Linked DNA regions of Yarrowia lipolytica. The protein of the gene in region 2 purifies or fractionates together with the protein of the main gene of each other region. This does not show direct contact. Links are inferred from orthologs where the notes say so. Each region holds a gene or a part of one and is shown on either strand. Other genes may lie near its edges.

Region 1 (10,507 bases), about 1.1 Mb from region 2:
GCCCCGCTCTGAGTATTAGTTACTGTGGTTGGCCGCTACCTGGTGCTGAAAGGTACACTGTACAATACAAATAAACCAGGTGGTGATCAATGTGGAGCCCGATTACTCTCAAAACGTTACCAGGAAAGGCGGAGTAGGTCACGAACACATGGAGGAGATACCGACAGAACCATAATACAGTAACAATGTACAGTAGACCTGTGGATCGCCAATTGACTGAATTGCGAGGTCTGAAACAGCTTGAATGTGACTTCCCTCCCCAAGCTCGGTAAGATCCTGATACTACTGCAGTAAATTAATATATTTGGCAAAAGTACAAGCACTGTACTGTACGTAAGTTGCAAAAACGGTGGTTGTTGGAGCCAGTGAAACATATTAGCCTCCCTAGTGATCGACAGTTCTTGTGCTTTGTCTCCAGTAACAACCGACATGAATGGCTTACTTTTTTTTATTATAACAGGAGGAGGCTTAAATGAAACACTATGTTGTGAGTTTAAGTCGATGGGTAGGAGGCACCTTTAGAACCTGGCTGCTGTGGACACGAAATTGCAGTATATGCTGAAAAACAAAACGACAATCCACGAAGAGAGTACCAAGTCAGATATAATAACAGGCGACTCTCTCTCTATCTCTCTCTCTCTTTCATTCTTACTATCACCAACGCCATTAATCAGCCGAGGTCCCGATATGTGCGTCTGCAGACGCGCATAACGGTCGGCCGGATATGTAGGCCAAGTACAAGCAACAATCGAACGAGTGATACGTTGTTCAAGGCAGGGGACCTTGTTCCCTAATATATCACACAGTTTAGGTTCTTTCTTTCACATACAGTAATTATATAGCCATCAGTCTAAGGCACGCGAATGATAGAAGTGGCCCCAGAGTCAAACAGAAGAAACTCATACGTGAACAGACTTTTAATAATGTGAACGTTAACATTGAATACACACAGTACAGTACAGTACCGTAATTACGCTTGTAAGTCAGTATGTACATCCAAGTACAGTACAGTACCGGCGGTACTTATAAGGGTCAGAGAGAATGCATTGTTGTTAATGATTAAGCTGATTCGTACATATATGCACTGGTGGTCCTTGTCCATTGCCCTATAACGTGGATGTACCAAGAGTCATCTCATTAAACCGGTCTTCAATAGTGTCCTGTTCCAAGGGAGCAGGAGGTGGAGGGGCAACCTGCTTGGTAGTGTTGTAGAGAGAGTTGTAGACCGAGGCAGGGAGTATCTTCTGAGCATCCCACTCTCTCACGCCGTCAAGAAGGTTGTTGGCGTTGTTGATCAGACCGTCTTCTCCCTCAGTCTCACTCTCAGCCTCTAGGTGTCTGTGCCATTGTCCCACCGAATAGATGGACTCTGACGAGTGACTGTTTTTGCTGCGAGGACTCCCAGGAGTCCCGGGTCGCGAAATTTCAAAAAAGGCAGGCTCGGCAACCTCCCCGGGCAGATGCAATGGCAATGCTGTAGAGGAGTTAACCTCCGAAAGAGGAGGAGAGAACTTGCCTGTAAAAACAGAGGGAACACCGAGAACAGCAGGCTGCTCCTTCTGCTTGGGTGCCTTGGCGGGATGGGGCTGGTTATCAATAAAGTGTGTTTTGACAAGATGATCAATCACGGGCCAGCCGAACGCGTTAGCAAATCTTCGTCGCACCACGATGTTGTTGTGAGCATCAGGTTCGAGTCGACATAGCACCTTTCGCCACGACATTTCGTGGTGATACTCTCGGGCGATACGCTCCTCCATCTTTGCCTTTTCCACCAGATGCTTGTCGCCTCCATCGCTGATACAATTGAGCGACTTTTGCTTTTTGAACCGACGGGGAGGAAGATCGGACTCATAATAGACACGGTCGTGAATGATAGTCTCAGCACGCGATTCGGGGTCACAGATGAACTTATGAGAGGGAAGAGGCATGGCCAGAACAGAGGCAGCTGACTCGATCACGGAGCTCTTGGGAGGAGGTCTCATCGTAGAGTCAGACATATTTCCCTCGTCCTCATCGTCAGACATTTTCGTCTGAGACCGCAAGTAGATCTTAGAGGGTTTCTTTCTGTGTCCGTGAGGGATCATAAGAGACATGGCAGCCTGGATTCCATGGAAAATGCCCTTTCCCAGCAGGAACCTCCTGGGTCTGTTGACTGCCTGCTGGCTGTCTTCAAGAGTTAGGGATCTCCCCTGCCTGTGGATCGCGAGCAGCCTGTTTGGAAGCCTCATCGTAGACCTTGGCCTCTTCAGCAGAAGTGGCGTTGATATCACCCGTGGGTTTACCAGTATCACTGGAATCCTTCTCCTTATCTTTCTCGTTACTACTTCCCTTGTCTCCTCCATCTCCTCCAGGGCCCCCTCGGTCCCTATCGTTAGATCCATTGTCATCACCCTTTTTGGCTGACGCAACCTTACTCAGACCCTTCCAGTCCAGATAGAGTAATGCGGATGTTCGTAGTGGCACAATACCATCGTTAAGGGCGTTGGCGTACACTGTTCGAGTCTGGAACTGTTTGAGCACTTCGTGTGTGTGTCCTGTAGGCAGCATTCTCAGCAGAGGCTTGTATCCGGGGAGCGGCTTTTTTGTAAGACCAAGATCCTGACCTGTTCTGCCAATAAAACCAATGTCCAGTGCTAGCCGCACATAAGCTGGGTTCTCATTGCTGACTCCCAGCAGGGGAGAGGCTAACGTAATCAGATGGTGTGGTTTGATTCGATCGAAAAACGTGTGGTCATGGGATCGAATGTATGCAATGGCGTAGATCATGATGAGACCTCCTAGAGAGTGGCCAATAAAGGAGATTTTGGCAGTGTCCTTGGTCACCAGCTCTTCCATTATATGTTTGGCCACTCTTCGACCCAGGTATCGAACTCCCCGCTCGGTCTTGGCGGCGTTTCCATGGTAACCTCTCACAATGACGTTTTCTCCCGTTTGTAGCGCAGCCTCGTCAATCTTCTCCTTCAGATAAAGCATGTCAGCTCCCGTGTTTGAGTGCAATCCATGCGTGATCACAACGAGATGCACGGGTTCGTTCGGTCGAGGCACTGGCTGGTGCCATAATGTCACTGTGTCTTGTCGTAGCACCGTAATGTAGTCCGAGAGCATTCCCATGGCGTTTCCGGAGTACCGGTGTAGGTGTTCACGCGTCTCACCCACCAGAATCTCATAGTTGATCTCTGCCGAAGCAGAAAAGATTATCTGAGATACAATATCCACGGTCCACGTGTAGGACTCCTGTAGCTTGTTCATATGCAATTCCACGTAGTAGTTTTGGCCCGCCTTGAGTTGCGGTTCGAAAGAGGGCTGGTCTGCCGAAACGTAGCACTGCTCGTTCTGGTTGTATGCTTCGGGAACCACGTGAACGTAGAGGAGAAACGGACCCGTGAGATATGCTGCTCGCATCGGCATAGACTCTGTGTTTCTGATTTTGAGCCACAAAGACGATGGGTGACCCAGAGGGGACTCGGGTGTCATGTCTTCGGGGTGTTTGATGGGCGAGTTCATGGGCGATTCGCTTGGCGTGTAGGTGATCTTATACCGCTGGACCCCGCCAATCTTGACGAAGTCGCTGTCGCGATACAAGAGCCATTCAGGCGCGTTTTGTGTCGGGTTCATGGGCTTGTCGGCGAGGAAGCTGAGATTTTTGGAGTTGAAGGTTGGCCGCATGCTTGCTGCACCCCAATGAAATACGGTTAGCACACGTGAAATGCGTGAGTAGAATTCTTGGCTGGTGTTATCGGAGTGCGATATAGGCATGATGGATAAATCGGCATTATTGCCACCACGAAAGACGTGCTAATTTCACTGGACAAAAATGATCTCCTTCAAATGAGGGGCAATGCATTTACCAGGTTCTCAAGATCGGAAAAACAAGAGTTCTTTGTCTTACCCCCGCTATAAACTACAAATGTTCCCCAACAGGCCTCTCAGTCCGATTTTGGTCTAAACTAGCTTGTACTAAGGTGCCAAGGTGTACAATATACCACATACTGTACATACTGTACCGTGTACTTGTGCACGATTCGATGTTCATGAGGAGATATATAGCTTTACGATTGCCTATTCAGTCATCTATTTGTCACTTGCATGCGATTAATGCCTCATGAGACACGTGCCTCTTACTACAACATGGGCACAAAACCTGAGACTCCATGTCCAGTAATAGTGTTTCGTATGTTTCGTGATTACGGCGCAACAGGCAATTGTACTCATACTGTGCAGTAGCTGCAAAAATATTTGTTCTACGTACTGCACCCTGTTTTAACAGGCTACAGCACTTCTAAACTACAGATACAGTGCACAGTATAGAGCTTTCCACCCCAGTCATTACCTACAAGTAGAAACTGTAGTATATCGATTAGTGTACAAATACATTTCTCCTACTCCCATAGCTTGATCTCACTGCCTCTACCTGCAGTAACCAGTTTGCTGCTCTCCTGGGGGTGGGCAGCAATGCACCGAAGGGCACTATCGTGGGCCTTGAAGCTACTCTTGAGCTTACAAGTCTTCCAGTCCCAGAAATAGGCATTTCCACCTGTGTCTCCAGACATGAGGTATTTGCCGTCCGCCGAGAAATTGACCTCAATGGCATATCCTGCTGAAGATGCACCTGTGAAGGTCTTCTTTCGGTTCTGTCTGAACCGGTCCTTGGCAGCAAACACCACAATCTGGTTGTCCATACTCTGAGCAGCCACGTGGTTGCCAGAGGGATGAATCTGTACAGAAGGCATAGAGTGCTGAGCAGGGTCAGCAATATATTTGATGGGGACGTTAATTTGGAGATCCCAGACTCGCACCGTCTTGTCGTCTGATGTGGTCATGAATCTCCGGTTCTCGTCCACAAATGTGATTGTGTTCACAGGTCCCAGATGATGGTCATACGTCTGGATAGTCTCCTTCGTTGTGATGTCCCAATGGATGATCTTACGGTCAGCCATGGCAGCAAGAAACTCATTGTTGTTGTTGGGGTTGAACTTGACCGCGTTGGGGATCTTGCCCGTGGAGAACTGAGCCAGACACTCCCCTGATTCTGTATCCCATAACTTGACACTCTTGTCGTATGATGCAGACAGGAACCTCGTACCATCATTGTTAAAAGATATGTCTTTAACAGCACGCGAGTGTCCAGAGTATGTGCGGATGAGCTCGCGCTTGTGGTAAACGTCCCATAGCTTGATTTTAGAGTCGTTACCACAAGACAACAGCAGATGACCAGCCTTGGGGAACAAACGTAGTGCGTTCACACCACCAGTGTGACCAGTATACGTATGGGCCTTTCGGGTAGGAACATGCCACTCGCTCTCCCCAGGATCACGTGTCAGCTTGATACCCAAATCTTGGGGAATGTGCATGAAAGATCGTCCCAGGTAGTCTTTGCCCTTGACATGTAGAATAGAGCTCTCCTTGACGGTTTCAGGCTCAGTCTCGGCATCTGCAATGACAACATTGGTGTTGTCCTCAACGTCATTCACGCTGTCGTCCTCCTCTTCCTCCTCACTAGTGCTTTCTTCGTCGTCATATGCTGCCCATGGTCCCTTGTATGCCTTCTTGCCTTCCAAGACACCCACCTCTCCCTTTTTGTGGCGTTTTAACGGCCGGTTGTTCTGTGTATTGTCTCCACCGACATGCTGGTTGTGTACAAGCTGGCCCTGGGTGGCGATGGATGGATCTAACGCCACTCCCGTGCTTTTGAAATCTTGGTGTTGCTGTCGGAACGTGGATGCGTCAAACGCCTCCTTCTGTGCATGGCCGGTCGGTGTGTTGTCGGCTAGAGTGCTTCTTTGCGCGGGCTTGTGCACCAGCTGGGCCTCTTCGGGCGATTCGTCAGCCTGGGGGGCCGCATTGAGGAGTGCCATAGTCGCTGTGATGTCAGGTTAATGTTCATGCATATAAAAATTAAGACTTTCGAAGAAGCTTCGGGTGTACTTTATCTAAAATATTTTTTGCCCGTGTGACGAGCTTTTACACACACGACACACAATAATGCCCAAGAGAGCTGCCGAAGACCAGAAACACCCCGCCGAGACCTCGTCGGAAGACGAATACGACGAGTCCTACCTCGAAGAGGACTCCTACGCTCCCGACTCTCCTGACGATCCGACCATGGAGGACGACGAGGAGGTCCCTGATACCATCGATGTGGACTTTGAGTACTTTGATTTCAACAAGGACATTGACTACCACGCCATTGGAAATCTGCTGCGACAATTGTTGGATTCTGACTCAACCTCGTTCAACCTCTCTGAGCTCTCCGATATGATCCTTGAGCAGGAGTCTTGCGGAACCACAATTAAGACCGACGGAAAGGAGTCCGATCCCTTCGCCATCCTCACAGTCATCAACATGTCCAAACACAAGGACAACAAGAAGGGAGTTATTGCTGCTCTCATTGACTACTTCGTCGCTCGAACACAGGACCTTCCCGAGCTACACAAGCAGATGCGAAAGTTGCTGGGCCCCTCTTCCACCTCCAAGGTTGGTCTCATCATCTCTGAGCGGCTCATCAACATGCCTGTCCAGGTCGTTCCTCCCATGTACAAGATGCTTCTTGATGAGACTAAGGATCAGGACTTTGATTACTTCCTGGTGCTCTCGAAGACTTTCACTGAGGCCGAGACCTCTGTGGACGAGGAGGACGAGCGGCCCTCTAAGAAGAACAAGAAGGGCCCCGGATACAAGCCCGAGACCTACTACTTCCATCCCGAGGATGAGGTTATTCAGGAGAAGAGTACACAGTACGGCTCCTACGCATTTAAGAAGGCTTCCCAAGAGGCTGACTCCAAGCGAGCCTTCCAGGAGTATGGTATCTTCCCTCAGGGTCACTTGATGCTTTTCAAGGCCAAGGATCTGGAGGCCATTGTGGCCAAGATGGAGGTTGAGTTTGCCCCTTAAACAGGGTCCAAGTACCACTACAAATACGAGTACGAGTACGAGTATCTTAAAGATAACTTCATTCATGTTGCAGTGCTACAGTATGTACAATCGCGAGAGCACAGATAGATTGGTCCCCCATAGCCAGATTGGAGAACGATGTAAAAGGTGACTGTGGCAGCTTACTACCGCTTGGTACGAGTAGTAGGACACTTTTGGGATGGCCAATAACTAGAATTTAGAAGTATTAATGTATTTCGTGACTATAAAAACAAATTTATGATACAACCAGTTTCCTTGTGGCTTCCCTTGAATTGTGCACATCCTTTACTCTTTCAACTACAACACAACGTATACGCTTACAGTAGCTGATTTGCTCAAGACATTCGCCACCCAGCTTCTTTGCATACATCTGTGTGTGGACCAAGTAACACCGAAAGACTACCACGCTAAAGCCTGATCTGACGGCTGACTAAGCCATCAAAGTGATTATACGCCCAAACCCCACCGATATCATCAAGGTTCACAAAATGACTTCTCCGGGTTTGTGCCAAGGGCCAAATTGTAAGGTAATTTTGCACATTCAGTCAGGGCCTGCAGATAGTATGCGGTGTGGGGTGAGAATGAGAGCGACTTCTGTTAACTGTGGCAATTGTTTACACAAACTGAGGGCCAATTGATCTGATGCTGAATGTGGTAAGGGCAGACAATACTTTCAAGTCAACAAGTTATGAAGGAAATACCTTCCCGACGCGCCTGCCAACTTCTTTCGGATATCGCGCATGGGTAGAGAACTTCTTGGGTGGAAAATCTAGCCGAGGTCGCCCGAGGTGTACAACGGTCCCAGACGCCACAGACAGTCTTGAAATTCAACAAAAAGGGGTCTTGATCTAAAAAGTGCTATAGGGTAGTGGGGTGTCTAACTTGTGTACCAACAGTTTAATTGCCATCTCGTGGTGGTCATCCCATCCTACAGTACTGTAGTGCGTATTGTACCCCACAGTGTGAAAGTTTGTGAGCATCATGCAAGCGTGCTCATAGCAACATCACCACCCAAACCCCATTCGACCAAGCACACTACGCCTGTGAGCACATTACAATCACAGCGGCAAACAGCAAAAATGTCGGATAAGGAGAAGAAAAAGAGCAGTGCGACGCACGCGGCCTTCCCTCCCTCAACGGCCTCGCAGCCTCAATCAATGAGTCCCCTGCTGTCTTCCACTCCCCCAACAGTCACCAAGGCACTAGCTCAAGCATACCCATACATTCTGGCCAGCGACAAGGTGCTGGGTCTGCTGACATGGACTGAGGATGATCAATGGCAGAGCTTTCTGTTGGTGGCCGTCTACGTGACCGTGGTCATGTACTACGAATACTTGGTCATCTACTGTGGTCACATTCTTGCCGTGGGCTTCATCTGGGCCTTTGTGTACATTCGACAAAGTGTGGAGAGACGGCAAACATCGGAGCCCTCTCTGGATGCAATTGTGCACACGCTGACCAATGTCACCACCAAGGCAAATCTTCTGCTGCTTCCAATCACCTCTCTGAGCCTGACCCCCAGAGATGTGACCCGATTGGCATTCACCACGCTCTTCCTATCGCCTCTGTATATGTTTGGTGCCTACTTTTTCCTTGGACCCCGAAAGTTCCTGCTCACTACCGGCGTCTTCTTCCTCACCTACCATTCCATGGCTGCCCGAGTCACACGAGCAGTCATCTGGAAGTCCAAGGCCATTAGACTGGTCACCTTCTACCTCACTGGACTCGACTTTTCCAACACAAAGCGAAACCTGGGCGCCTTTGGATTCACCCAATCGCCCCTGTCGGTGCAGTCCAAGGACGGAAAGCCCGTGCGGTTCACCTACGTACTGTATGAGAACCAACGACGATGGCTCGGTATTGGCTGGACCGCCAACCTTCTGGCCTACGAGCGAACTCCTTGGACCGACGAGTTCCTCAACGAGGTTACTCCTCCTTCTGAGTTCAAGCTGCCCGATACAGAGGGCACCGGCATGAAGTGGCAGTGGGTCGATCCTACTTGGCGATTGGACTGTACCAACGATGGCGCCCTGGTCATTATTGGCAACAAGGCTTTGAGCACGCCCGATCCTTCTCCCTCCGAGGGATGGATCTACTATGACAACACATGGAAGCGACCTACTGCAGACGACTCTTTTAGCAAGTACACCCGACGACGACGATGGGTGCGAACTGCTGAGCTCATCACCGTCACCAAGCCCACTGATGTGGTGGTCACTGTCGAGGAGGATGGTGTGACTGACGCTGCTGGAGATGTGGAGATCATCACCACCGAGACCGAGGAGAAGGTGCGAAGACGAAAGGGCATTAGATTCGAGGAGGACTCTTAAGAGATAATTAAATATATGAATGTATCATTTTTTTACGCGATTGCGTGTAAGAGAGGCGGCTATATGAGCTTGTTCACGTAATTCAAGGGTGTGTCTGTGTGTACTGTATACAATTACCGCCGTCTGCAGTAGGTATTGTATGCGCACACACACAGTAACGGTATGTGTACAGTGGCTACTTACTTGTACAGTACTTATACTTGTACAAGCGCCACATTAGTAGAATAATTCGTGCTTAGAACTACGTGTACTATTTTTCTTCTTTTTTGATTTTTTTTTGTTATTTGATTTAGATATGGGACCAAGGATCGATGGCAATGACGGTTCCGAATTTCTCGTTGCCAATGAAAAAAACCTTGTATTCATAGCCCCACTCGTCCAGCCAGGCCTTCACCTCCTTGGTCAACATGTCTGTTTTGGAAACAACATGGTAACCCACACCAGAGATCGCATACACCAGCTTTTTATTCTTTCTGTACTGCTCCTCGACTCCCAGAAGAATGTTCTCCAGATGCATGACACTGGTATCAAGCTCAAGCCCATGAAGGTCACAGAAGATCTCTCCAAGGTCATCTCGGTAATTGTAGAGAATGTCAGAGGCCTTTCTACTGGCTGCAATGAGTTCCTGCTGGTGCTTCTGACCCTTGTTAGAGTATATCTTGGCAGCATCAGGTCGGTTCATATGCCAGTTATCGGCAGAAAGGTTGAGATACTTGTTTCGCATCTCAATATGCTTTCTGCTCTCCTTTCGAAGCTGCAGGTACTCCTGAATAGGTTCGTCCAGCTGGTGAGGGTTCTCGACCCAGGGAGTGAATTCTGGTCGAAGAAGAGTCAGAGGGTTGTGTTTTTGCACAGCCATGCGAGCTGCCGGTCCTTTGGCAGGCGAAATTTTGGCAGGTGTGAAACTAGGTGCGGTAGGAGTGAAACTAGGTGCTGTAGGAGTGAATGCCTTAGGCACAAAAGAAGGGACACCAGCAGTACCAGGCACAAAAGATTCAGTAGGCTTCACCTTGCTGAAATCAAACCTCTTCTTGGGCTTCTCAGCAACAGTTTGTGTGTCATTAGAACTGGCCACAGCTGCCCATTTGCTACCTGGCTTCTCCCTTTTTTTGGACTTTGTGTCACTAGCTGTTCCACTTGCTCCTCCCAGAGTGGGGAAATCTTCCAAGGAGTCAAGCATGGGCTTGGAGAAGTTCTCCAGAGGCTTTGTGGGCTCTGGAGTAGACTCGGTCTCTGGAAAGGAATGCAGGAAGGCACAAGTCTCG
Region 2 (11,233 bases):
GTCACGTGCCATTCGGTAATGTGCGACCGCTAGAAAGTGCTGTCGTTTGCACGTCATGTGATGCACCCATTCGCTTCGGACCTGCGGGCTCTTTTGGGCCCAGGCGAGCGCCGAGTCGTAAAGAAGAGATACCTGCTGCGCGAGCTTTGCCACCAGAGAGTTTCGTGAGCCACTCAGCAGCGATCTCTGCCAGAAACATTCCTGTGCTTGGGCCAACATGAGATCTCTAACACAGCAAATGGTGTCATATTCGAGTCCTCGCATGTTGAGACTTTCCAAGTCTGGCAAGCCGTTCTCAATGAGAATCTGGAAGCATCCTGCTGCCATTTGAAAGTAATTGAATGACATCTTTAGACCGTCTGCGTCCTGCCTTCCCTCATTGACGCCCATCTGACTGTACAGCGAGCCCAGGTTGTAGAGAAGATTGCATCGCTCGAAATGAAGGCTTTGACTGATGACGGGGGCGGCATTGGCGGTGTAGGCCAGAGTTCCGTACCACATGAACTCCAGGCTATCGCATCCGGCTGGAAACTTGGTAGTCCAGTATGTCAATTGGGCGTAGTACTTGGTGAGGTGGTCGAGATAGCTGGCGTTTGGTTGCGGGTTGAGAATGTTGTTACGCAGGTCGTTGGCTGTTTTCAGGTCGGCTGTAAACTTGTCTCGAGGTTGGTTCAGCTGCTTCTCGATGGTGTCGCCCAGTCCTGTGATTAGATCGACAGCTTGTGTCTCCCGAAACGGGATCCAGATGATGTTTGGCATGGTCGCAAGACGCTCTTGGTGTTTTGGGGTCGTTTCCGCACTTGCAAGCAGTAGCTGGCAGTGTGTTCAGCAGTAGGCACGAATCGATGTTTACAAGTTGCTGATTGAGTTGTTGTATGCGAGAGCTTATTGTTGATGTGATAAGAACATAGTAGACAGAGTGTAATTGGACTCTTAGTTGGGAAATTAAAAATCAAACTAAGAAGCCAAGTAATTTGCAACATGATACTTGACCGCTCATTGACTACAGGATGTACTTTACTTGTTCATACTCTCAACCACAGGTAGTACTCGTTACTCGTCACACACACACCCTACATTAATCAATTATCGAGTATCGCTCGAAGAACGTCTTTCAATGTTCTCAGTGACCCCTTTCTCTTCGTCCTCCATCTCTTCGAGCTTCCTCTCGTAGGCATTATCCTGCTCAGAGCCTCCAGAGATCATCTCTGCCTGTCTGTTTTCTGGACCCAGAAACGTGACACAAAGCACAAAAAAGAAGACACAACCCATCAAAATGGCCATCACCAGACTGTAATTGTACACTCCTGGTTTTTCGTTTCCGAATTTGTCATAAAGGGGAAATGTTTCTCCAATAGTGGCTTCAATGGTTGAAGAAGCAGAAGAAGCCAGGTTACCCAGCTGGTAAGCCACCCCTACCATTGACGATCGAAGGACCGGAGGGGCAAGCTCTGTAAGATGAATAGGGATGACTCCCCAGGCTCCCTGGACAAAAAACTGCAGAAAGAAGACTCCAGCATTGATTCCACTGTTGGTGACAAAGGCCCAAGGGTAGATCAGCGCTCCCCCTATCACACAAGAGATCATGATACACAGTCGTCTTCCAAAGAAAGAAGAAGCGTGACCCACAACAAGGCCACCGGCAATAGCTCCAAAGTTGGCCACACAGTTGGTAACAGTAGATCGGTCTTCGCTGAATCCAAGCTGTTTCTTGAGCATGGTCGGATACAAGTCCTGTGAGCCATGAGACATGAAGTTGAAGCCCCCCATGAGAACAACCAGGTAGGCAAACATGAGCCAGTACGTCTTGAAGGTCATCTTGATGCCTCGCCAGAAGTTCTTTTCAATACCTTCGGCCTCTGCTGCGTTCTTTTTAGAAAGAAGATAGGTGTCGGTTTCAGGAAGACATAGTCGGAAGATGATGATGAGAACAGGAGGACCCGAACCGAACCAGAAAAGAGCGCGCCACCCAAAAGGAGAAGTATCGGCAATGGCTCGGGTGAACACGACACACAACAAGTATCCGAATGCATAGCCTTCCTGTAGCAGTCCCGAAATGACTCCTCTGGCCTGTACTGGGCAGTCTTCGAGGGCTGTAGCTGCTGCCATGCCGTAGATACCCCCCATTGCGATTCCAAACAGAGCTCTGACGGCAAGGAACTGCTTATATGTCTGTACAAACCCGGTGCCCAATTCCAGGACAATAAACAAGACACAGTTGGTGATGAAGGGCCATTTTCGTCCAAAACGATCCGACAGCATTCCGAAGATGACAGCTCCAACAGATCGCAACATGAGCACAAGAGTGATACCCCAGGTGATACTTGTGACAGACACATGGAGACTCTCGGCAATTTCAGATGCAACCAGCGACACAGAAAAGAAATCAAACGAGTCCCAAGCCCAGCCACAGAATCCCACAGCTACAAACAACCACTGCTTCCTGTTCAGAAGTCGAAGGGCAGGAATCGGGTTGATGTGCTTTTTTTCCTCAACCGTGAGCTTTGGAGGCTTCAAAGAAGTGACTCGAGTGACTAGGTACCTCTTGATGTTCTTTGGAGACAGATCTGGTGCTGGGAAGTTGTCAAAATCCATGCTGACATGTATACAGACAGATTGAGCGAGTAGACAGGTCTATATATACGCCTGGATATCAAAAGTCGTGTTTAATCATTAAATGGCGAGATCATGACCCCTCAGGCGTGAACTGCTTTTCCGCCCTTTAGTCTAGCGGTCCAACCACAGTCTTATTGGTGAAACATTGTGGCCATGTGTAGTCCCGGAATGGATAGAGACAGTATTGGTCTGTTATTGTCCCATACGAGAGCCAAGAAGATACTGTGGAGTCTTATATAATGACATGCTCTCAAGTATCTGCAGCCTTGCGCAACGTCTCACTCCTCAACGACAGCTTCTCCAACTTCGTCAGTCCAAATTAGTACGTTGAGTCCCCGCCTCCGGTCCGCTTCTACACGAGTATATACGTAGTTATATACATACTCGTAGCTCTTGTATTATAAATCGACTGTCGGAAAATCTTTTTAGACCAGAGATAGGATTAGAAATGTAGACGTCAAGTATGTACTAGCGATGATAGTCGTCGAGCCCAACCTCTGGCGCACTTTGACTGGGGGCCAAATGAACAGTAGCCTGATAGCACACACGTAGGGGGAGGATTGACGTCTTAATAGATCACAAGTGCATCATCTGCTGCCGCAATCGTTCCTCATTCCACCATTCATATAGTCAATAAGTATACAAACGTATTCGCTTAGAACTTCTCCACTTCCCCACTAAAAAGTACTAAACGACCCGGATCGCCACTTCCGGAAGGATCCACCTACTTGTGCTGTATCTACCCGAGCGCAGGAGCACCCCGGAGCAGAGGCCTTCACCAGCCCTGTTGCTCCATCAGCTGTTCAAAATGCACAATAAATAATTACTTAACTAATCGACTCCTAATGGCCACCCTTGGCGGCCTGCTCCTTAACCTTCAACTCACGGTATTTATCCTGCGCGGCACGTTCCTTCTTGACGAGCCAGTCAACCTCCTCCTGCAGAGCCGCGCTTCGCTGCTCAATGGCAATCTCCTCCATGCGGGCTAACTCGGAAAACACGGCAATCTCGACCTCAACAGACTCAAGTTGAGACCACCGAGAAGTCAGCTTTTTAGATAAAGTAGCCTGGCGCTTGGCATACGCCTTAAACTTGTCCACCAGAGCAGTCTCTTCGGTCTGGCAAGTTTCCGCAAGAGAAGTTAGCGTTTCAACAAGCTGGTCGGATATGATTTCCACACGGGTCTTGAACTCCTCCTCGGACTCGTCGGAACGAGCAACTGTTCCAGGAAGAGCAGCCGTCTTAATATCCTCCTCCTGCACTTCTTGCTCATCGCCCTCCATCAGTTCCATCTCAATCAAAGTTTCGGCATCCACTAAGTCGTCGAGAGAGAACTCAGACTGCATTAGAGCCACAGAATCGCCTTTATTGGGAAACCTAAGCTCCTCCTCTCTGAGAAGAGCAACTACTTCTTGACCGATAGCATCATTGTAAGTAACTTCAGGAACAGTAGCCCGGGGAAGACCTCTCTGAAGAGTCTGAGAACGAGTCTTGAGAGCTTCTTGTCGCTCCTGCTCCTCGGCAATTCTTTTCAATCGAGCTTGTTCGCCCTTATCAACTGGCAAGTTATCTGTAGGCTTCTTTTCCTTATCAGCTTCCTCATCTTCCTCTTCGTCCTCCGCAGTGATTTCGAAATCGTTCTTGGGCTTAGGAAGAGAGGCCAGTTTCTGGCGCAGAATAGAAACAGGAGTAGCTTCGACAGATCCAACCAAACCCAGAGCGTCCCGCTTGATAGGAGTCATCCCAGCAGGAGTAGCTCCTCCTATATCGGATCCAGCAGAAACACTAGTGACAGCCTTGTTAGAAGGCAGCTTGGGGATTGCAAATCCATCTTTATCAGCTTCAGCTTCGTCGTCGACCTCTTCCTCGGTTCTCTTACCAAGCACAGACCGGTTCTCCATGGCCTTGATCTCCTCGATTGTAGTCTTTACTTTCGACTGCTGAACTTGAGGAGTTCGAATGGAGTCGTCCACAATCTTGTCATCGTAATCACCCGACAAGCTTGACGCCACTCCGTCTGCATACCGCTTATGTAGAGCTTCACCCTGAGCTCCCAGCTTCACAATCTCCTCCATTTCCTGATCCTGGATCTGTGGCTCAGGAAGATTCAGTTTTCGTCGCTTGGAAATCTGATCTTGCAAGTCCAACTGTGCCAGTTGAAGTGTTCGCTGAGCAGACGCCGTCTTTTGCTGCTCCTTTTTCTTCTCCTCATCCTCCTTGGACAAAGTTGCCTTGTCTCGCTTTTGTGACGGCCCAGGTGCGTCCGCAGCTGTGCGGTGCATTTGTTTGTGTTGAAGACGCTCCGAGTCGTTTTCATGCTCCTCCTCGGCAGTTGAGTAAAAGCCACGGGCCGGTTTGTGTTCAAAGGGAATATCGGCGTTGTAGTCCATCTCATTCTTCTTCCTTTTACTCAGTCGAGTGTCGATTCCTGCATTTTTGAGCTCTCGTCGCTTCTGAAGCTGACTGAGCCGTCGCGAGTCCTCTAGCATCCGTTCTCGATCCTTTCTTTTCGCCTTCTTACCCTGAGTGTTGGCCAAACGAGCTCGCGCTTCACTCAGCATTTCCTTCTCGTCTTCGTCCATGTCCACGGCGTCAGGCCGGGCAGGCTTGGTTTCGGGAAACTGGTCACCTTCAGTGGCGGGTGCAGATGCCACCGCAGAAGCGTCTTCGCCCTCCACCTCGCCAGCAACTTCAGCTAACAAACGCTCGTATCGCTGAATGCACTGGTGTGCAGTTCGCCCCACAAACGGGGCAATCGTTCGCCATTGTGCAGGAAAGATCTTGGCCAGATGCAGCAGCTTCTCGTCCTCCTCTCGCGACCACTCGATTTTCTTGATGGTCGGATCAAGCCACTCGGTCCACCGAGCCTTGCACTGTTTGGCTGTTTTTCGAGCCAGTAGAGACGACACTCGCGCCCATTGGTTCAGACCATATTTGGAGATGGCAGCCCGCAGGATTTCGTCCTCGACGTTTGTCCAAACTCCTCCTTTGACGTACGCCATGATGTTTTCGTGTGTGTGATGATAGTGGTGAGAAAGTTCGGAGGTGAGCTCATGCAGAATATTTGGTAACTAGAGTTTATCAAAATGATTCAGACGGGAATCGAACTGACCAAATATATGAGCTTGTAGAGTGCTGGAAAAGAAATATATAATATTACAGTATATAAAAAAAAAACCATTAGAATAAAGATATATTAAAAAAAAATTAAAGATATGTGAAAAATCATTAGAATTTTCTAAAAAGAACTGCTGTGAATTATGTAGACCCAATCATTCTCCAACATAAATATCTGAACATACAGCATCTTCTACGCGAAATGAGCTGTCCCTCGCAGTTGGTCCACAAAACTCTACATCAATCGAGCCTTCCAATCATCTCAGAGGGAGTAAGAAATGTCAGTTTCCTGGTGGCTCTCCTCCATCTCCATCACACGGTCTGTCTGAACTTTGACAAATGACGCGTTTCGAGAGGTAAACTCGCACAGTGTTTGTTTGAAATGAGCTGAAGAGGGAAGAGGATACAAACGCAGATTGCAGACATTTTGAGACACTATGAAGCGTGTATGATAACAGAAACATGTGCTGAATCCTGGGAAGCTGTTGTATCGTACCCTCGTCCTGTACATACTTGTATAAGGCGCGCGTGTGTCTGATGTTACTGTATGTGCTCTGCATGTATCATTATATTGACCAATGTGTAATGTCAGGAATATGCCACAGAAGAAGACGATAAAACGTTTGGGTCTTATTAAAACACATACCCCCTGACTTGTCGTACCGGTGAAGCCGATAATACAGCAGCAGATCACGTAGCTCTGCAATTTCCCCCTTTTAATGTATTCTTGTATCCGCACTGGTCGCACTTTATCATGCATATTTCAGGCATACCCATTTCTCCGGAAATGTACATTTTGGGGGTGGGAATGTGACGTCGTGTTGAGGTGGTTGGAGCGGGTTTGAAGACGAGAAAAAGACTGGAAACTGTTCAACTGGGCAGATGGGATTGATTCCAAAAAACGCCCAGTTCCAAAAATCCCTGATTTACCCCATTACTCGGCCTTACGCCGTCTGTTGTGTCTACACTCAATAGGACATTAGCTCCGGATGACAGGCTGGATGTACTGGTATACATGGTATACAGGATTGGTATTTAACACACACTGGCTGACACATGTCTAGTTCCGATGGCGTCGCTCTTCTTCCTTCACAAACGAGCTTTGAAATGTCACGGTTCGATATCGACGAAACAAAATCCAAAACAGACGACTCCAACGGCTCCCAGCCTCTGGGGGGGGGGAGGAGAACATGGAGAAAGCAGGTGAACTTCGCCTTTGTCGCTCTCTTCACTCTCACATCTTTTGCAACAATGTGTCAAGCATCCGTTGTCTGGGGACCCCAGACAAGGGATCTGGGCTGGCAGTTTGAACAGCTCAACAGAGGCTACGCTTTTAGCATAGCTGGCCAGGGTTTGGGGTGTCTTCTGATGATCCCCGTGGCCATCAAATTCGGAAGACGGCCGGTCTATCTCTTTGGAGTGGCTCTGTCATTGTGCACTTCGCTGTGGCAGGCGCAAATGACGTCTCTCCATGAGCTGTACACAGTTTCGTTTTTAGAAGGCATGGCTGCCAGTTTGACCGAGGCGTGTGTCCAAATGACGATTGCAGACCTATTCCCGGTCCAGAGCAGAGGCACCTACAACGGCATGTACATCATTGCAGTTTCGGTGGGCAACTTTCTCATTCTGGTGCCTGCTGGAGCCATAGTCAACCAGTGGGGCTGGAGAGCTGCGTACTGGGCGATTGGCCTGTTTCAGATGGTCGAGTTGGTTGCATCTTTGTTTCTGTTTGAAGAAACTAAACCTGGCCATGTGTCTGGTCAAAAGTTGAGCATATACCCTCGGTCATCTTCAAAGAGTGACGAAGAGGAGAGAGAAACATTGGTTAACGACATGGAAAGACACAACTCGTATGATACCGAGAGAAGCGCGTCCAGAGGATGCATCAAGTGCACCGACTCGTTTCCACATATCCCGTTGGTCACAGTTACTCCTGGCTGGTCGAGTTTCTTCAAGTCTTTCTACACTCCGTTTGTCCTACTGGCTTCGCCCATTGTCGCGTTTGCCGCAATCACCTATGGATTTTTGCTGCTGGCTCTGTCAATGTCGTCGGTAGTGACTTCTCTCAAGTTTGCAGAAGCCCCCTATAGCATGAGTCCCTGGTCCATTGGTCTGGTGTTCATTTCTCCGTTTGTGGGCATGACCATGGGCTCCTTTTTCGGCGGGTACTTGTCTGACTGGGACATTGTGCGAAGAACAAGACTCAACAGTGGCGTCTACAGTCCACAGATGCGACTGAAACTCATCTACCCAGGTCTATTGGCCGTCACGGCAGGTCTGCTAACTTTTGGCATCTCGGTGTCAAGAGGAGTTCATTGGGTGGTGCCAACTCTTGCGTTTGGAGCTGTTTCTTTCGGATTTGGAAGCGTGGGATCCATAGTATTGACCTATCTGATCGACTACAAGGAGTCCCTGGCTGCTCAGTCTCTGGTTGCTGTTGTGGTGGTCCGAAACTCCATCTGTATGGTGGAGTCCTTCTCCTTGTCTCCGTGGGTGGATTCGGTTGGGGTTGACAATGTGTTCATCACAGCGGGCTGTTTCTCGCTGATCCCCATCTTTTTGGCATTGGCGATTGAGCTGTTTCATCGCAAGTCTTAGCCACGAGACATGGTTAGACATAATTTATAGATAGATATAGACATAGACAGACAGACAGAATGTATACGCGATACAATACGACACCAGGGCACGACGGACGCTGTCCAAATGCACAATAGATGCAATAGAACTTTTGCGAGGCTTGAACGGTGTCCGAATGGTAACTCTTGGCCATCTACGACTTGCTGGTCGGTCGTCGATCGTAATCACTGTCTCACTCCTCTCCACTTGTTGACACTGGACGCAGGAACAAGTGTATGCACAACAGTCTAGTTCCACGGACAAGAGGTGGCATCTACGGTGGACAAGTATTGAGCAGGGGTTGGGGTCTTGTTTAGCGTGGATGTTCTCATTTGAATGCCGTTTCTGGTCCTTTATTACCAGCGCCTTCTTTGTATCCCGCCCGACCCAGCACTCGCTTCTAAGACATTTGTGGGGATGTGGGGTTACGAGTAGAGTAATTAGATTGCAGAACGCAGATGGGCCAGAAACTGACGTCTGGCAGGTTATCGTAAGTATCGTGATTACTACCACCGGTGCCGGAAGGTACAGTGCAAGTAGTGCCAGCTTCTGAGGATGAATTACAAAGAAGCCACTACTCGTAGCTCCAATTCTCGCCATAACGCAACAGCTGGCTAGAAACTCGCTTACCAGTCGCTAATCACTATAAGACATTGTCCAAATGACCCTTAGTGTCCGCTCTCGGTTAAGACAGAGCTATGTGTAGCGCGACAAGGGTAGTAGTACCACTACGACTATACTACGACTACATTGTACGATACTCATAGGCCAACATCTTGTGGACAGTGGAACATTGCCTCCATACCGACAGTGTGGCATGCCCCGCTTGTTCCGCTTCTTTTCCCAACCCCACCACCACCCTAGTCTGTCTTTCTTCCATCCTCTTGTCTCGGTTTTTTTTCAGACTCCTCCCCACCCCCCAACAAAGTTCGAGCATAGACTGGGTAAGCGAGGGGTGCATCCTACCAGCATGTGATTGAGATGAGCTGGGACCATGGGCTGTTTACGGAGGCGGGAATAAGCAGCGTGGCACCCCGAACACGGAGCACGCAGCTCCAACGGGATATTGCGCGCCACAAAAACATGCAAACTCGCCCGGTTCGCTCCCGCAAATCGCATCTCCGACATTCTCGCCCATGGCAAAACTAAAACCCCGGTAAACTCAACGCGGGGTGTGTGTCTAAGAACAGCTCCTTTATAGGCTTTGGTCCAAGATTGCATATCGCAGCGAACGACGTGTGCGGTGAACCCATCAGACCATCTCTCATCTTCAGCAACACAACCACCCCCGACAAAGCACACAAAATGGCGCCCGGAATCCCAAAACCGCGACACCAGCGACTGGTGCTGCAGTGCTACCCCGACGGCCAGGCCGCGGACAAAAAACCCAACCCCTCAGAGCTGTCGTATCTGCTCTTCTACGTGAACCACAGACGAGTCAAGCTGGAAAAGGTCGGACCGTTCCTCGAGAACAAATGCTACAAGGACGTGAGCCGAGGCCGCCAGGGCAACGTCATGGTGGCGCTCGACATCTTTGCAAAGCTCATCGAAGAGTGCCACGAAGACCTCAACCTGTTTGCTCAGAACGTGGTCAACACCCTGCTGGACGTGGTCAACTCCGGAGACCTGCTGCTGTGCCAGCACTCCAACAAGGTCTTTGCGCTCTTCTGCCAGTACCACGACGGAGGCCTGTTTCTGGGCGACCCCGAGTTTGTGCGGTCCTTCAAGCAGCTGCTCGAGGTCTACGTGAACATGGCCAAGGTGCCCAACGGCCCCAACAGCGTGCAGTGGAAGATTGTGGGCCTCGAAGCTGCCAAGAGCATTGCTGGCTCTGCTGCCATTGCCACCCAGACCGGATCCACCTCCATTTCCCCCATTGTCCACCTTCTGCTGTCCTCTCTGCAAGAGTCCCAGTCTGATCTGGAACAGCTGGACCACTCCCTGGATCTCGGAGGAGGCCTCCCAGACAACATTGGAGGCTCCAAGCGAAACTCTATGCACCAGGACGCCATCGACAACTTCATTCACGAGGAGTCGCCCGAAAAACAGGTCAGATACCTGTCGTTCCACGCCCTGCGCACATTCTTCGACACAACCTCCGTGGTGCAGATCCAGAGTGCCACACGAGCCATTGTCACATACATCATCAACTCCAACGTGCCCGAGCACTGGGCAACGTCGCTGGTGGTCATTGTGGCCAAGTGGGCTCCTGTCCAGTACCGGTTTGTGATCCTCGTCTCGCTGGTTGAGATGCTCGTGGCCATGTCGCCTAACAATGTCAAGTCCGAACTCGTGGTTGCCGCCTTGATCCACGCCTTGCTCTCCTCTACAGTCAACATGGTCGGCCTGTCCGTTATGGACATTCTGGGATCGCTACTCAACAAGCAGGCTGCCATCATCAAGCACGCCCAGTCCAACAATGAGGCCAGCGGCGCCTTCGAGGAGCTCATTGACAAGCTTTCGGCCTGCATGATCTCCCTGGGAACCCACATTTACTACGCCGACCAGATTTCCGATATGGTTGGAGAGGTTCTGTGGCGATGTACTGACCCTGCTACTGCTGGACAAACCGGCCATGCCGTGTCTGCGGACGACGGAACTGGCCTGCAGATCAAACGACCCACCCGTCGAGTTTTTACCACTCTGTCCGCCAACAACGCGGAGCTGCAGCACTCCTCCGACGAGTCTGTGGGTGCCGCCACAGGCGGAACTGCCAACGGAAGCGCCGGTGTTGGCTCTTTCAGCCACGACAACTCCCCCGACGTGCTCATTCGACGTCTGGCTATCGTCGAGGGTTTCTTCCGACTCCAGAACGAGGAGCAGGACATGACTGCCCACAACTCGGTACCTCTTTCGGCTTGGGACGGCACTCAGTATCTGC
Region 3 (9,515 bases), on a different chromosome or scaffold from region 2:
GGAAGAACAAAGGTAGCGGTGACAAGCTTGCCAGCCCCGTTGGCCTGGGCTGGAGGGTTGATCTGAGCGGTGGCCTGGGCAGGCCTGACGGTGGAAATTCCAATGGTCTGGGTCAGGGTCTGGGTCAGGAGAAGAGTGGTGTCACCCTCGGATCCTGCGGCAATTGGGCCAGCAACCGGTCCAACAGCGGGGGCAGCGGCGGGAATCTTCTCGCCGGTGGAGGTCTTCTCGTCGGTACCGGTAGAAGCGTTCTCACCAGCGGGGGTCTTCTCACCAGTGGTGGTCTTCTCACCAGTAGATGCCTTATTTCCGGCGGATGCCTTGGCAGTCTCAACAGGATGGTCACACTTCGTGCAGATGGTAGAAGTGACGGTGCTCTTGGTGTTTCCAGCTTGAGTGGCACCCTGAGCATCAACAATACTAACAGGACAGTCAGTTACATATGTGGTGACTCGGTCAACACCACCAGCAATCTCAGTGCACTTGTTGCAAACCGTGACTGTCACAGTGGACTGGGTCACTCCGGTGTGGGTGACTCCCTCGGCGTCAACAGATGTGACAGCCACATCGGTGACATGCACGGTAGTGACAGTGCCGTTGGAGAAGCCACCACGGATACCATCACCGCCAATCACTATCACGTTGACGTTCGAGTTAGTGTTGCTGTTACTGTTGCTGTTGCTGTTGGTATTGGCATTTGCAGTCTCCTCGTCCTTATCACCATCATCATGGATGGATCCTGAATCGGAGTCATCCTCATGCTTGTCGACTGGGGAGTCCTCCTTGCTATCGGCGTTGCCACCCAGGAGCTGGAGCCATAGGACATGGAGAGAATCAGCATGAGTCTGAAGCTTTTCGGCGAGCTTCTGGAGCTCTTCGGAGTGGCTATCACCAGCCTCCTTTGCCACCTTGTCGGCCAACTCCTGCACCAACTGCCACAGAGCGTAGGTCTGGTCAGCAATGCTGCTGTTGGAGTCGATTACGGTCTTGGAAGGAGAGGAGAGGTCATTAATCAACTTTTTAAGATCTTCAATCTGCTTGTTCAAATCATCAATCTTCCCCTTCAATTCAGAATCGGTGGTTGCTGCTTCTTTCAGTTTATCTTCGATTTCCTTTTGGACATCCTCGATGTATTTGAGCTCCTTCTCAAGATCTTCAATGACGGAAGGGTCAAGGTTGGTGGGCTTGTCGTCCGGGTTGGCGGGCTTGTCATTGGGGTTGACAGGCTTCTCGTCAGGGTTCACAGGCTTCTCGTCAGGGTTCACAGGCTTTTCATCAGGATTCACAGGCTTCTCATCAGGATTAACAGGCTTCTCGTCAGGATTCACAGGCTTCTCGTCCGGGTTGGTAGGATCCTCAGGATTCACAGGCTTGACAGGCAGAGAGTCGACAATGATCTGGGCAAGACCCAGCTGCTCGGTGTAGGCAGCTGCGATCTGGGCCTCGTACATGAGATAGACATTACGAGCCGCGTGCTCGTAGTCTGAGCCGGTGGGGGGTTGGGTTCCTTGATTAATCAACCACTGAGAAACTTCTCGGATGTTAGGATCAAGAGGTTGAACAGCGACTCTCCAATCGGGCTTGTTAGTTGCAGCGACATACTCCTGCTGAAGCTTGAGGGCCTCCACAAGATGTTCGTTGTCGGGTTTGAGAGCGAGGTCAGCGGCAGCAGGAATCTTTGCACCAGCCATATTGGACTGAGGCCAAGTATTGAACGACGACACAATGTTCGAGGCTGCAATTTCCGGGCTGGAATAGAAATCGGGAGCGCCTCCGAAGACAGTTGGGTAGGTGAGCTGTTTGAGGGCTTCGGGGTCGTCGGTGACGAGGGCCATAGCCATGGGGACCAACAAGGCGAAAGCGAAGGCAGAGAACTTCATATGGAAAGACTTTGGTGAGTGTATGAACTTGTTGTTTCTGGGGAAGAAAGAAGGGAACTTCCTGGGTTATATGTACAGATGCGAGACTTGAGCCGTCGCAAGATTTTGAATAACCAGGCATCATATCCGAACCATTTCATTATTGGAATGTACAAGACTTGGTCGAGAACTTCCCAAGTACCTCCCAAGAAGGAATAAGACCAGTTTAGCCCATATTTTTTCGAGGTAGACACTGGATACTGCTTCTCAGTCTTCTATTGTGTTTACAATTATGAGGGTGATCATGGAGAGGGGTGTCTAAGTAAGTACTGCAGCTATTTGGCTGAGTTCTTGTCTCATCTGTGGATGGGTTCGCTTCTGGGACATGGTCGTCTCGTCGGTAATAAGTGAGTGGAGTTGAGCTGAATAATAGGCATGTTTATTGCATAAGATCGGTTTTATTGCATAAGATCGGTTTTGTTGCATAGGGCCGGTTTTATGGCATAGTCATCCATCTTTTTGAACTTGTTCACCCACTAATCTTGTCGAGATGCACTGGAAGTGTGTTCAGGGACGGTATGAGAGTGAGAATGTGGAATTACAAGGACAAGAAAGAATGTAAAGAAGGGAGAGTTCTCTTGTGGTATTGCGCTTGTAGTCGCAGTCTGATACCAAAAAAAAAAAAAAAAAAAAAGAAGAAAAAAACCATTGATCTGGTCCGGAGCTTAGATCAGGAGCTACAAGTAGCGTCGATCTCTCCGCTAGCATTCTGGTGTAATACTGTGGGGCATTTGTGTGGGAATGTAGACAAGTCTTAGAGCGATTTAATGAGTGTATCAAACGGCATCGCTTCTTGCCCATGATTCGATGCATTCTGTTCATGTTCAAACATCGGGCTATTTTTGGACGCCGCGCTTTCGGAATGAGCGGCAGATCGACAATCGGTGAAAAAGACCCATTTAGTGGGAAATAATACACCAATTGTCTTTGAAACACACCCCGATCGGGACGTGGTAAAGTTGAACACAGGCCTATCAGTGGGTAAGATTGGCTTGAGCTAGGTGGGTATAGTGGTAAGTGAGGCGATAGAGGTTGGCGAGTCTTAAAAAATTGAATCTCGAGTATAGCCACGATTTTCTAGTCTGGAACCACAAATACCTGAGATCTAGAAGCTCTTCTGTATGGGTGATGACTTCCCCACATATATCTACACCCCACTTTGACGGAATGCAGAATTGGACTTGACCAAATCAAAGCAATCAAATGGTGCGGAATCTGGGCGAAAAATGTCTTACTCCCCGGTTCCTGCTTCCTCCAATCGTAGTAGAGCTCGTTTAGCATTGGCACCACTGTAGACTGTTCTGCAGGGCGTAGGTCCCTTTGAAACGGGCCAGAAGGGTCCAAAAATTCAGGTATTGAGTAAACAGTGTCTTCCAAAGCTAACGGCGTTAATTTCTTGTCTGTCCGAGATCAATATTGTGGCCATCTTGCTTATCTCCGACGTCCTGTTCGGTCCACATTTTTAAGCTATTGGGTTCTGACTGTTGTTTTTTGGTCCTGGGTTCTGATCTCGACTACAACCCCGGAATGAGGCGACCGATGGGGAAGCAGTCTGGTCTGGGCCATTCAGGTACCCCCAAATTATCCCCCGCTGGAATAAAAATTGCCAAACCCCAGGTCCATTACCCCAACATGGCAACGTCCCACCCAGGTAAGCTCCAACGGTCACATGACCGGCGGAAAACTCAAGCGAAACGAGTCGGACGTTAGACACAAACAGCAGAGACACAAAACCAACTGTAAAGACAAGGGAAGGGTATTTCGTCCCACACTGCAATGTCGTGTGAGGTTAAAGGAGAGCAACTTAGCTAATCGGCGTTAAGGCTGAGTTTGGAATGTTAACTCCGAACTCTGTAGGGCAAGAAAATTACACCTCTGGACATCTGAACCCTGCAGGGCAAGCTTGAGCTAGGTCCTGCTTGGGTTGAAGCAGGGTCTCTCCCGCGAGTATCTCTGGTTTCAGCTGAATCCGCAGAGCTGGAGTACAGTACTCTACTCCTGTCCTGAGGGTGTCGGAGATGGCACCTTGCAAATCAGGTGGGCAGGTGGAGACATTGAAACATTGAAACATTGAAACATTGAAACATTGAAACATTGAAACTCGGCAAAGATCATGTTTCCCATCACAGTCGTCTACATCATATTCCAGGGCCTATACGTTCTCTACTGGAATCATCCCCAGTCCATAAGTTATATTACAAAGTCTTAACGGTATCCTTTTTCCTTCTCTTGGAGTTCACCCATTGTCTCCGGGACGGTATGAGCCCAAGGAGATCCGTCTGTCGGTTGGTCGGTGGTACTTGGCTGTCGTATCCTCCAGCTGCGAAAGATACTGGCACAAACTTTGACAGACTGTATCATGATACTCAGTAACTAAGCCCTGTACCAATAGTCAGACAATGGTAGCTGTTGTGCAGCTGCCAAACCTGATAATGCTGTATCCCAGTCTTGGGACTCTCGTTGATTCACTCATGGCTGTGACTCGAGGCTGCGACTAGTGGCTGTGATTCACTGCTCATTCACTCGTCGATTAATCACTCGAAGCACAACCCCGACACCCACAAGTCACACACTCCACCGGCTTGTCATCCTTGATATCCTTTCGAGGAACCCGACAGATACAAGTTCCTTCGTGAATGTTCTCCTTTCCTTGAATGCACCTCAAACAGCAGAGATTCTCGTATCCCTGCTTTCGCCACTTGGCAATGAGATTCTGATCGGCATACCCCTTCTTCAGAAGATATGCATACAGCTCTTTGGTGATGGCCTCCTTCTTGTAATACAACTCATAGACATATCGAGACCGCTGGTGATGGATGCGATAAATGTCCCATAACAACTGGTTCTTTTTCTTTCCCTCGGTTGGAGCGTTTTGGGCGTCTTTTAGCTTGTCTCCAAACTCCTGCAGAATATCGGAGATGTCGTCAAATCCAGCTGGAGGCGCTTTCGATCGTGAAGTGCGGATTTTCACCATTTTGTGCGGTGTCTGATGATGCTTAGTAAGGTTTCAGGTGGTATCTGGCGCCCCTTTTTCTCTTCGATCAATATCCAGGTGGTGGCGTTGTGGATGTGATGTGATGGTCGATAAATGCAGTTGGAGTTTCGTGTCGCGTCAGGGGTTTCGATCGGCTCCCTTATGGTGTTTCACGTGATTTAGGTATCGCCGAGTCCGTCACGTGTTTGTGCTTTCTGAGGTTCGGATCAGAATTTGCTGTTTTGGTTGTTTTGGAAAGTGGTGATGATTTTTTGGAGGTTGGTTTTTTTGCTGCAGCTAAAATGCATTTGAGTTACATAGGGGGAAAACAGGGGTGGATCTAATGTAGCCAATAATGGAGCTATTTGAGTGATTTTTGGCCCATTATCTTCTTAGAGTGACTGTAATGCTACAGTAAGAATTTTAGCACCTGATCCCATACAAATATACCCAGTTGTGACGGACCTGACTCTCATGCAGTGAAGCTATTATCAACAGAAAATTTCTGATAAGGTACTGACGTCAAAATCATTGGTGGAAGAGGAGAAAATGAGGCTACAGACGGTATCATTGCTGTTGACATCTTCTCTGAAGTGTGTCCGATTGTTCCAGTTTCCTCTCCCTCTCTTTCTTCTAGACTTGCTGTTTCTGCTGTTTTCGCCACCCAAAGCAACCGAACATGACTCAGTGGGTGAATTGAAGAGATAGCCCTATGATATTCATATTTGAAGTTATATATACAACACTTTTTGGCTACATTTCCAATTGTTGAACGTCTATCTAATAGCACTATTCCACGCGCCCAATGTTTAAGTAATTTTCCAAGTAATAGTGAGTAACTCTATTGGTCCCCAACTACAGTCCCATCCCTCTCCCCACAACCTCCATATAAAACACCCAATAATAGTCCAATAGAAAATCCAATTATATCTGAAAACTCTTCCCATTCCTCTGATTCTGATGATATCAAAATCTCCCCCAAATTGTTACTTTTCCACTTTGTCGCCACCCTCCCCCAACTCCCAAACTCAACCCCTATATTATCCAGCAGTAGAAAAAAGTACACTTCTGCACTACACCATCACGGGATCAGACTAGGCGTAGTCAGACGCCGCCCCACGACGTTACGGCCGAGCCCGGTTAAAAACACGCCCCCCTCCCATTCAAAGGTAACCACGGCAACGCAGCGCCGACACAGACAACAGCAATTACAACACGGTATTAGTCATCACAGCAACCCATCCAGCGGACTCACAACAACAGTGACATAACACTAGTGACGCAATGTTACCGCAATATCTCATCAACGTGGCGACATGGTCGACGTTTATCGCCATTTTCATCTCGACAATATCCATTCTCCTACAACTCTACACATACACCCGTCCCGCTGACCAGCGGTTGGTGATTCGGATTCTGTTTCTGGTTCCTCTATTTGCGCTCTCGTCATGGCTGTCTCTTCTGGAGACCCAGGACCAGATTTCCAGACCTCTGGCCCGCTTCAACATTGTGCTATCAGCTCTCAAAGAAATCTACGAAGCCTTCACCCTCTACACCTTCTTTTCGCTGCTTACCAATCTGCTCGGCGGCGAACGAAACATCATTTTCACCACCCAGGGACGAGCTCCTCTCCACACTCTGTTTGGAAAGGTCAACATTTCCGACCCTCACGAATTTCTGACCGTCAAACGAGCGGTACTGCAGTACGTGTGGATCAAACCAGTGATTTCTGTGGCCATCTTTATCTGCAAGATTCTGGGAGTCTACAAACAAGGGGAAATCAGCCTGACTAGTGGATACACATGGATCGGTATTGTCTATAACGTTAGTGTCTCACTCAGTCTGTACGCCTTGGGAATCTTCTGGATGTGTCTCCATACAGATCTGCAACCCTACAATCCCTGGCCCAAGTTTCTGTGCATCAAACTCATCATCTTCTTCTCATACTGGCAAGGGGTGGTGTTGGCACTGGCTCAGTTGATGGGCATTATTCAGCCGGAGTCCTCCGCACCCCTCCAGGACTGGTTCATGTGTCTGGAAATGACTCCCTTTGCTCTTTTGCACATGTGGGCTTTTCCTCACGACGAATACTGCCAAAGAGACTGTGGATTTGCCCGATTACCTGTCTGGCTGGCTCTCAGAGACGTGCTGGGGATCGGAGACCTCATGTATGACTTCAAGAGCACCTTCTGGGGAAAAGGGTACACCTACAGGAACTTTGACAGTGTGGAAAGTGTCATTGTGGACCACCCAGATGCAGACAGTCGAGTCAGAAAGATCATGAGTGGCCTCAGATACACGGATGGAGGAAGAGGTAAATACTGGCTGTCGGACGAGTCACGCGATGACCACGAGGGCAGCGGCGACTCGTCGTCGTCGTCACGTGACGCCACAGAACACAGCGGGCTGCTTGCGGGTCAGCAGTCGCATGTCGCTGCTTCAGATCAGCTGCTTCAGATTGCGTCGATCGCCGAAATCGACGACTCGTTCGACCAGTGGCGAAACGAGGACGACTCTTCTAAGGCACGTGACTACGGCGCCACCGATCTCGCCACCCACATTGTTGAGCCTGTGTCTGAGCAGGAGTTGTATGATGACGATGATCTTTACTATGATGCACGGGAGCAGCGGTTTGGCGACTTCAACTATAGAGTGAAGACAGTGAAGGAGCAGCGCACGTGGCGCAGTGAGCACAATGGTGGTTTGAGGAGAGAGTTGTGATTATGGTCGTTTGTCGTGCCCTAGTCTTACCCTGGTCTTGCCCTGGTCTTGCCCTGGTTTTGCCCTGGTCTTGCCTTGGTCTTGCCCTGGTCTTGCCCTGGTCTTTCGCAGACTTCGTATGTCTGGTGTTTGCATTTGTCGATATAGAAAGTATTTATTTATTGAACATTTTTGAAAGGAGATTGCATTGGTGAAACAAATACAAGTAGGTAATTTCTATTAGTTTAGTTATTTATTTATTTTTCTTTTATTTATTTTTCTTTAATTTTCTCCATCTGTCTGATATCACGACTATAGACTAATTCACAACCCAACGGTTTTGTAATTATCCATGCGATAAGCAACGCTACAGACTCAAGAATACTACCGTCTGGAGCGGCTCATCGCAAGCTCCTCCCTTGATACCTATATCGGCGGTGGTCTGAAAAGGTTTACCCCATGAGCGAGGTTATCAACAGTAGAATTTGGCATCGAGACAGACAGCTGAAATCTGAATTCGGGTGTCTCTTCTGAGGAGAAGATTTCGGACCGAATCTTCGTTGTCTAGAAGCGGCAGAATTTGTTTTTGTCCAACGGTGAGCAGCCATGGACCAGAGATGGTGTCAGAATGTTTGTTGGAGACAAGCACTCGTTGGTAGTTGCATTGGTACAGTAATTTTATCGGTACATACTTGTACACTCGTGCCATACTCGTCATAATTGGTGGATATTTCAACTCAATCTGAGTGATTAGTCAGTATATACATCAGCTGTGCTACCTAGAAAGAATCATCAATTGAGCAAGATTTAAACAACTTGTGGGTTCTGACGGTATATAAAACTGATCAGAAGACGATTCTGGGTATAACGGATCTACTTTGGAGAACATTCTTGTAATTTTGGGTCAATTGGAGTCACTAACTACTTTCCTGTTGAATTGTACACTACCTACTGCATCGCTTGTCGTCCAATGTCAGATAGAGATGACTTGGAAGGTGATAGAGACAGCCAATGTGATCTCCTTAGTCGGTTCTATCCATTCCAGCAAAAATCTGCAGAAGAAATACCCCATTGCAAGAGTTGTTCTGAGATTGATATTTCTAATAGAAAACTATCTATACTTGAACTAGACAGTTGCAACTTTGACAGGTTGATTCTGGCATCGAAAAGAGACGTCGGGGGAAGGTACTCGTACTGTACGACTTCTTGTAGCATCCGCTTCTGGTGGAACACATAACTGTCACTGTGTTAACGGTGCTAACTACAGGTCTACTACCTCTCTCCAGTTCCAAGTCAGACTACTCGACACACGTCAGTGCAAATTCAGACCATGACGCCGCAAATTCTGCTGTGAAGGATTAGAATTGGACCCTGGAGTCTTTGTTGACAACAACCCTCCAACTTACTTGGATAAGCTCACCATAAGTTAACTTTTACTTAACGTTCTTAAGTAAATGCTTATAGAGGCGGAGTAGGGGAGCTGTCTACAATTCCCTTCGTGGAGCTGGGACAGACAAGCTGAGTATATGAATGGATTCCTGGTGTTTCAGAGAGAATTTATGTCTTCTCAACTTCTTCTTTTGTCACACAAATCCCCCACAAACTCCCGGCTCCCCTCCACCCGTCTTCTTGTCAGCCGCTTCTCACGATAGACTTCCTCTACAACTCCTTGGAAGCTCGTTGACAGTGACATACAAAGATAGGGTTGTCTGTACACATGCAAACAGTATTAGATAATGCCCGGTCGTAGGTTATGATTTGTTCGGAGGTTTGTATGAAGGGCTTTTCATCGGGGCCTGTTGGGCACGCTCTGGTCAAGCTGTGGGTTGTCCTCGCTTATCAGCACCCTCCCTGCGTCTCCACAAACATGTCCCCTGTACTCGTATTCTCCAGGGTCGCGCACATGTCTTCATTCCGGGCCA

What was found.
Region 1: the proteins of YALI1_D25370g (region 2) and YALI1_D35966g purify together in Schizosaccharomyces pombe (affinity purification with mass spectrometry; 3 studies listed by BioGRID, with this or other methods). This does not show direct contact. The link is inferred for Yarrowia lipolytica from reciprocal best matches to the Schizosaccharomyces pombe genes cdc5 and prp17.
Region 3: the proteins of YALI1_D25370g (region 2) and YALI1_B23609g purify together in Schizosaccharomyces pombe (affinity purification with mass spectrometry; 3 studies listed by BioGRID, with this or other methods). This does not show direct contact. The link is inferred for Yarrowia lipolytica from reciprocal best matches to the Schizosaccharomyces pombe genes cdc5 and cwf14.

Annotation. Positions count from the first base shown.
Region 1 is NC_090773.1:3,591,889-3,602,395, reverse strand, and holds YALI1_D35966g (uncharacterized protein), read right to left. Parts: upstream 5,856-10,507; coding exon 4,380-5,855; downstream 1-4,379. Other genes in the region: YALI1_D35965g (uncharacterized protein), read left to right, coding at 5,983-6,891; YALI1_D35945g (uncharacterized protein), read left to right, coding at 7,992-9,242; YALI1_D35911g (uncharacterized protein), read right to left, coding at 9,532-10,507.
Region 2 is NC_090773.1:2,531,407-2,542,639, reverse strand, and holds YALI1_D25370g (uncharacterized protein), read right to left. Parts: upstream 5,619-11,233; coding exon 3,459-5,618; downstream 1-3,458. Other genes in the region: YALI1_D25419g (uncharacterized protein), read right to left, coding at 1-759; YALI1_D25400g (uncharacterized protein), read right to left, coding at 1,087-2,595; YALI1_D25359g (uncharacterized protein), read left to right, coding at 6,790-8,331; YALI1_D25337g (uncharacterized protein), read right to left, coding at 8,356-8,952; YALI1_D25330g (uncharacterized protein), read left to right, coding at 9,658-11,233. UniProt on the Schizosaccharomyces pombe protein: Involved in mRNA splicing and cell cycle control.
Region 3 is NC_090771.1:2,356,073-2,365,587, forward strand, and holds YALI1_B23609g (uncharacterized protein), read right to left. Parts: upstream 4,894-9,515; coding exon 4,450-4,893; downstream 1-4,449. Other genes in the region: YALI1_B23579g (uncharacterized protein), read right to left, coding at 1-1,880; YALI1_B23603g (uncharacterized protein), read right to left, coding at 4,115-4,261, 4,318-4,392; YALI1_B23622g (uncharacterized protein), read left to right, coding at 6,178-7,614. UniProt on the Schizosaccharomyces pombe protein: Involved in mRNA splicing where it associates with cdc5 and the other cwf proteins as part of the spliceosome.